2 linked regions of the Sus scrofa genome follow. The protein of the gene in region 2 interacts with the protein of the main gene of each other region in a pairwise test. Links are inferred from orthologs where the notes say so. Each region holds a gene or a part of one and is shown on either strand. Other genes may lie near its edges.

The links.
Region 1: the proteins of TMCC2 (region 2) and IQUB interact in a two-hybrid assay, tested with the Homo sapiens proteins (2 studies listed by BioGRID and IntAct). The two-hybrid records come from large-scale screens. The link is inferred for Sus scrofa from reciprocal best matches to the Homo sapiens genes TMCC2 and IQUB.

Annotation. Positions count from the first base shown.
Region 1 is NC_010460.4:23,901,727-23,905,996, reverse strand, and holds the start of IQUB (IQ and ubiquitin-like domain-containing protein), read right to left. Parts: upstream 3,043-4,270; 5' UTR 2,866-3,042; intron 1-2,865. UniProt on the Homo sapiens protein: Adapter protein that anchors the radial spoke 1 (RS1) complex to the A microtubule of outer doublet microtubules in axonemes. The triple radial spokes (RS1, RS2 and RS3) are required to modulate beating of the sperm flagellum.
Region 2 is NC_010451.4:65,950,534-65,953,314, forward strand, and holds the end of TMCC2 (transmembrane and coiled-coil domains protein 2), read left to right. Parts: coding exon 1-3; intron 4-668; coding exon 669-980; 3' UTR 981-2,073; downstream 2,074-2,781.

The sequences.
Region 1 (4,270 bases), on a different chromosome or scaffold from region 2:
TCAATGGGTTAAGCATCTGGCATTGCCTTGAACTGTAGCATAGGTCAGATTCCGATCAGATCTCACACTGCTGTGGCTGTGGCGTAGGCTGGCAGCTGCAGCTCTGATTCGACCCCTAGCCTGGGAACTTCCATATGCCATGGGTGCAGCTCTAAAAAATAAATAAATAAATGTGGTTAAATTTCAACAGCAACCAATAAAAGAATTGAATGAAGTTTTTAAATCCAGAACAATAAAGAAAAAAAAGTGCAATGAGACAAAACTAAACAAGATCTCAATTTTTTAAAAGTTCAAGAAACCTCTTCAGGCTCTCAATCACCAGAAAAAAAAAAAAATTCCTTTTGGTTATAATTTTCTCCCACAATAAAATTTAGTGGCCTGATAGGAAAGAAAGTAACACAAAGAAGCTCGAACACGTAGCATCATACTTATCCGCCCTTTCTGGAAAATCTGGGGTAATGCTTTTGTTTCTATCTGGTTGGGTCACCCTCCCCCCAAAATGGCCAAGACGGCATCTTCTAAAACAGCAACGGTAACAAAATCAAGAACTTCTGCTTTCCAAAAAACACACCTAGAAAAATCAAAAGACAAACCATAGCCTGGGATGTAATTTTTTGCAAAACTCACATCTGATAAAGGACTTGTACCCAGATTATATAGAGAGAACTCTCCAAACACAATTGAAAAAAAAATAACAGTAAGGGGAAAAAAATGAGTAAGAGATTTAAACAGATCAGTCACCAAAGATTATACATAGGAAGAAAATAAGCTGGGCCAGGACTATATTGAGGCAAGTGTGGCACCTGCACTGCTCTATACACACACTAATGCCTGAGAATAAATGCCTCCTAAAATGTTGGACCTAGTTGCCTCATTACCTCACTCTAGTCTTGTCCCTGAGTATGAAAAGATACTCAATACCGTTAGTCATTAGAGAAATAAAACTTCAGATGAGATTTCTCTAAACATCTATTAGAACAGTTTAAAAAAAATTTAGCCCAGCAATATCAAGAGCCAATGACAATGAATACAAGTGGAGCTCTTGTACCTTGATGTTGGAAGTGAAAATTGGTTTAGTACTTGAGATACTTGTCAGTTTTCTGGTAAAACTAAACACACACTTATCATATGACCCAGCAATCTGTATCCAAGAAAACTACATTCACACAAGATCTGCACACGAGTTGATAAAAGCTTCGTTCTTACTCACCAAAAGACCAGAAATAACACAAATATTTCTTAGCTGAGGAATGGATACCCGTACTATGATGCATGCATTCACAAAATGGAATATCACCCCCTCAGTAAAAAGGAATAAGTCACTGCCACACACAACAACATGGGTGAATTTCCAATGAGCTACGCTAAATGAAGAAGCCAATTCTAAAAGCTACATCATGTATGGTTTAATTAAGTGAAAAGGCAAAGCTTTTGGTTCGCAACCTCTGGAATTCCCTGGGTAGAGCTAAAATTGAGCCTGGAACACAGAGCGCAAGGATAACTGAAGAAAGAAGCAGACCCCTCCAAATTGTAGGTGGCAGGTAGCAAGGGTTGTCTTGGGCAGCCTAAAGACAGTAAATCTCAACATCCACCTGCCAAAATCTTAAGAGTTTTGAGACTTTAACTGGGTTCAGTCATATATACAGTTCATATGGTCTCAATAACACATGTCCTGTTTCAGGCACAATGGGAGAAGGGACATTCCAAGGACAGGAAAGGGAAAAGAGTCTTCAGCTGCCCACCTGGGTACTGGGTAAACCAGGGGTCAAGTCCTTTCAAGGACCTCCTCCAAAGAACATACCAGTATGCACAGTGTTACCGGCACAACTACATAATTGTTTATGCATAGAATTTCTCTGGAAGGTGAAGTGGAGGGTGGGGTGGTGGCAGAAGGACATAGGTGGAAAGCAGATTTTCAGTTTTTTGGGGGTTTGTTTGTTTGTTTGTTTGTTTTTGTCTTTTTGCCTTTTCTACGGTCGCTCCTGTGGCATATGGAGGTTCCCAGGCTAGGGGTCCAATCGGAGCTGTAGCTGCCAGGTTAAGCCACAGCCACAGGAACGCCAGATCCGAGCCCCTCTGCAAACTACACCACAGCTCACGGCAATGCCGGAACCTTAACCCACTGAGCTAGGCTAGCGATCGAACCGCAACCTCACGGTTCCTAGTCAGACTCCTTAACTACTGAGCCACGACGCGAACTCCCATTCTTTTTTTTTTTTTTTTTAATCATTTTTAATGTATTATTCAAGTGTAAATGTTATAATCTTTAAAAAGTTGTTTAAAAAGGAAAAACACTACGATGATTGCAGAACGTGCCTCTTTGACCTAAAATACATAATTTCGTTCATATATATATATACATACATATATATGTACAGAATATTAGTGTAAGTAGAAAGGCAGGGATCCAGTTTTGCCTTCCATCAAATAGCCCTCTTGAGTTTTTAAGTTTTTTAAGAGCCACAGCGAAGCCCGTGAGAGGAACGTCTGAGAGCGCTATTTTCTCAAGACTGAAAACGGTCACTACGAGAGGGTAAACATTTTCAAATGCCAGATCTGGGTCACACAAACGTCTTGCTTCTATATTATTAACCGTGATAAGCACTCGGGTGTGAGGTGAGGTACACATCCTAGCTTGGTGCTTCTGCTTCCGAATCCCAAATAAGAGATTTGGAGGCAGAAAAGTGACCAAGAAAGATGCTTTGCAGTTTTTTAGAGACAGCTGGAACATTCTAGAGAAGAAAAACAACGCCCAGAGCCCCGGCGGCTTCGGCGCCCTGCACAGAACCCAGGGCGTTTGCCACCGCCTCAAGGTCGGTCTGGGGGGTCGCGCCAGTAGAGGGCAGCCAGAACCTGTCCTCCTACCTGACTAATAAGTGCAGGGGTTTTTTTGGTGGAAGCGGTTTCTCAGGCTCCTAGACAGCAGAGTCCACACTTGCCGAATTCTCTGTTATCCGTCGTATCCTAGGAACGGCCCTGGCACCCCTCCCACCAGGGCACAGCTCCCGCGAGAAGAGGCGGTGCCCGCGCTGGCGCAGGGGACGGAGAGACTGGAGGGGCGGTTGGGAAGGGGCGGGACGGGGAGACGGGGCGGAGCCAAGGGGCGAGGAGGGGCGGAGCCAAGGGGCGAGGAGGGGCGGAGCCAAGGGGCGAAGAGGGGCGGAGCCAAGGGGCGAGGAGGGGCGGAGAGACGCGCCGAGGGAGGGAGGGAAGCTGTTACCTAGGCATTGCTTGGGTCGAAAGGTGATTCTGACCATAACCACTCTCTAAGATGTTCTTTACCCTTGTGAAATGGCACTGTTGTCCAAACCAAACAATTTGCCCTCATGGATATAAAAAGTCAGGGTTAGAGAAAATGTAATTATGAAGTGGTAGCGAAGACCTTGACAAAGGAAAAAACAGTTGTACAACTGTGTAGCTGGCTACCCGCTTTTGTTAAATTTGGAACTTGACTCTTAGCTTCCTGACAGCCAAAGAGAAAAGGGAGAGAGGAACTAGTCTTTTCTTTTTTTTTTTTTTTACCGGCTGCTCCGGTGGCATATAGAGGTTCCCAGCCTAGGGGTGAATAGGAGCTGTAGCAGCTGGCCTATGCCACAGCCACAGCAAAGCGACCTACACCACAGCTCATGGCAGCACAGGATCCTTAACCCAATGAGCAAGGCCATAGATGGAACTAGCATCCAGGGATGCTAGTCAGATTCATTATCTGCGGAGCCACGGTGGGAACGCCAAGAGAGAGAAACTATTAAATAATAACCCTTTTAAATCAGGAGAAGCAAGGCTTTGTTAATCATTGAATTACAAAGTGTTTCTTTTTTCCTCACATCACTGTAAATTAAAAAGATTTTTAAAGCACCCATTATTAGGGGAAAGGATCAATTACGTTCCTATTACAAATGCAGTAACAAAATTCATGTGGCTTTGTAATAATGGCTAACATTTATTAAATATCATTTGTTACTAAGGACTTTACATATATTTCTCATTAATTTTTTTTTCTTTTATGCCTGCATCTGTGGCATATGGAAGTTCTTGGGCTAAGTGTCAAATCAGAGCTGCAGCTGCCAGCATACACCACACCCACAGCAACACTGGATCCAAGCCACATCTGCAACCTACATCACAGCTCACTCACTGCAACTCAGGATCCTTAACCCACTGAGCAAGGCCAGTGATCAAAACCACATCCTCATGGATACTATTTTGGGATTTTAATCCACTAAGCCATAATAGGAACTCTTTTAATTTTTACAATTTCATTAAGGAAGGA
Region 2 (2,781 bases):
CAGGTATGATGGCCTCCAGAGGAGGCTGGGAGTGGGCCAGCTCCACCCCTTCCTCTTAATCAAGACTTCCCCGGAGTTCCCACTGTGGCTCAGTAGAAACGAATCTGACTAGTATCCATGAGGATGCAGGTTCATTCCCTGGCCTTGCTTGTGGGTCGGGGATCCTGCGTTGCTGTGAGCTGTGGCGTAGGCTGGCAGCTGTAGCTCCAATCAGACCCCTAGCCTGGGAACCTCCGTATGCCACAGGTGCGGCCCTAAAAAAGAAAAAAAGTAAAATAAATTAATAAATAAGACTTCCCAGAGTTCCCGTTGTGGCTCAGCGGGTTAAGAACCTGACATCGTGTCCGTGAGGAGGCGGGTTCCATCCCTGGCCTCGCTCAGTGGGTGGAGGATCTGGCATTGCTGTGGCTGTGGCACAGCGATGCGACCTCTAGCCTGGAAACCTCCATGCTGTGGGTGTGGCCCGAAAAAGAAAAAGAAAAAGTAAAAAGCTTCCCACCAGCCTCCCCAGATAGTCATCCTTAAAGGACACAGCCCCCAGCTACCGCCGATCACCCTCTACCCTGCCGGGCCTTGGGAGGAGGCGCCCCATGCACGGGGCAGGTAGGGTTCAGGCTGGGGGTCTGCCTGCCCTGAGCTCCCACACGCCCACCCTGTGTCCCCTGCAGGAGGCCGTGGAGTCCTGCCTGACCCGGGTCACCAAGCTGGAGCTGCAGCAGCAACAGCAGCAGGTGGTGCAGCTGGAGGGCGTGGAGAACGCCAACGCGCGGGCGCTGCTGGGCAAGTTCATCAACGTGATCCTGGCGCTCATGGCCGTGCTGCTGGTGTTCGTGTCCACCATCGCCAACTTCATCACGCCCCTCATGAAGACCCGCCTGCGCATCACCAGCACCGCCCTCCTGGTCCTCGTCCTCTTCCTCCTCTGGAAGCACTGGGACTCCCTCACCTACCTCCTGGAGCACGTGCTGCTGCCCAGCTGAGCGGCGGCCTGTCCCGACCCTGTGCGGTCCCCGGCGCCCAGCTGGCCATGCTTCCCCGCGGGGGGGACCCTGGGGCTCCGGAGTCCCTGGGACTTCTTCCTGTGTCCAGTTTGGCCTCCTGCCCAAACTGTCCATTCCAGCTCCGTCTGCCCCCTTCTCTGTTCTTGCTTTCTTCGGTCCGATGCCTTCTGTCCCTGTTGGCCTGAAGGGAGCCTCCAGGGTCACCCCGGCTGGAGGCGGCAGGGACGTCCGTGACCAAATAGAGCAGGGGACACCCTGATGGACTGTTTTGATTAAATTTATAGTCACACGATGATTTCTCCCAGCTGACACAGATGACATGGTTCAGGAAGGCCAATGAGCATGGGGACAGGGGAGGGCCATGCCTCAGCTTCCCTGGGGGAGAGGCTGGCAGCTCCTGTTCCCTCCTCCAGAGCTGTTTGAGGCTGGATAGTGGGTTGGGCCCTTCTGGGATCTGAAGGAGGCAGGCAGGCTCTCGGGAGGCTGGGTGGGCATGGCTTTGGATTCGTGTTTTCTCTGGAGTTCTTTCTGCCTGTCCCTGGATCTGCTCTTTTCAGGGAAAGAGGCCCGAGGGGCCCCCAGCCTCAGCCCAAGCCCTTAAGGTTCTATTTATTTTATTTATTTATTTATTCGTTCCTTTGGACCGGATCCCCCTGAGCTCCAGGGAGAGGGCCCCGCCCTCACCCCGTCCTCTCTCTGAAGCCAGGGCTGCTTCTTGGCTTGTCAGGCACTTCCATCCCACTTAGCTCTGGATCATCCTGGCTGCGAGAAGTGGGGGCAGGGCCAGCCGGCTCCACCTTCCCAGGCAGCCCCTCGGCCTCTTTTATACGTCTATTTATTTGGTATGTGTGTGTTTGTGTGGGGGAGGTTGTTTGTTGCTTTATTTTTTTAAGGCTCTGGAGTGTTGTGTATGGTTTCTCTTCCCTTCCCAGCCTCCCCGAGGGCGCTTCCAAGAAGAGGGGGGGCTTCTCGGAAAAGGAGAAAGAAATCCCCTTGGAGCAGGGGAGGGCAGGGCCTGCCAGCTATTGTGGACCTTCCCGAGAAATAAATACCCTCTAAATTTTCAAACCATCCTGTGTTGTGCTGATTGATTAGGCTGTTTCCGTGGAAACCACTCAGTCTCTTCCAACACTCAAGCCTTCTGGGTAACACAGCTGGGACCACACCCGTTGGCCTGAGACTTTATCCTCCAGGATCTGACGTTGAACAAGGTGTCATTCACCCTTCCATTTGCTTTCTGCAGCCAAAGCTCTGGCTTCGATGGTAGGGAGGTGAGATGATGCTTGTCCCATCCAGCACCTGCAGAGTGCTTTCTAGGAGGAAGGGAATTGGGAGAGCAGTTCCTTAAATGGGAGAAGATAAGCAGCTGGAGGCCTGGACGGCAAGTCATGCTCAGGTGTGGCCACGAGAGGGCAGCAGAGTCCTTATTCAACCCTTTCCTAGGGTTCGGTCCCAAAGACAAACAAGCCTCTGTTTTGTTTTAATTACTCAATGAATTTATTACATTTATACTTGTACAGTGATCATCACAATCCAGTTTTATAGGCTTTCCAAGTCACAACCCCAGCGCATACCCCCAACCCCCAAACTGCCTCCTTTGGAGACCATAAGTTTTTTAAAGTCTGTGAGTCAGTATCTTTTCTGCAAAGAAGTTCATTCTGTCCTTTTTTCAGATTCCACATGTCAGTGAAAGCATTTGATGTTGGTGTCTCATTGTCTGGCTGACTTCACTTAGCATGATCATTTATAGGTCCATCCATGTTGCTAAGAATGCCGGAAT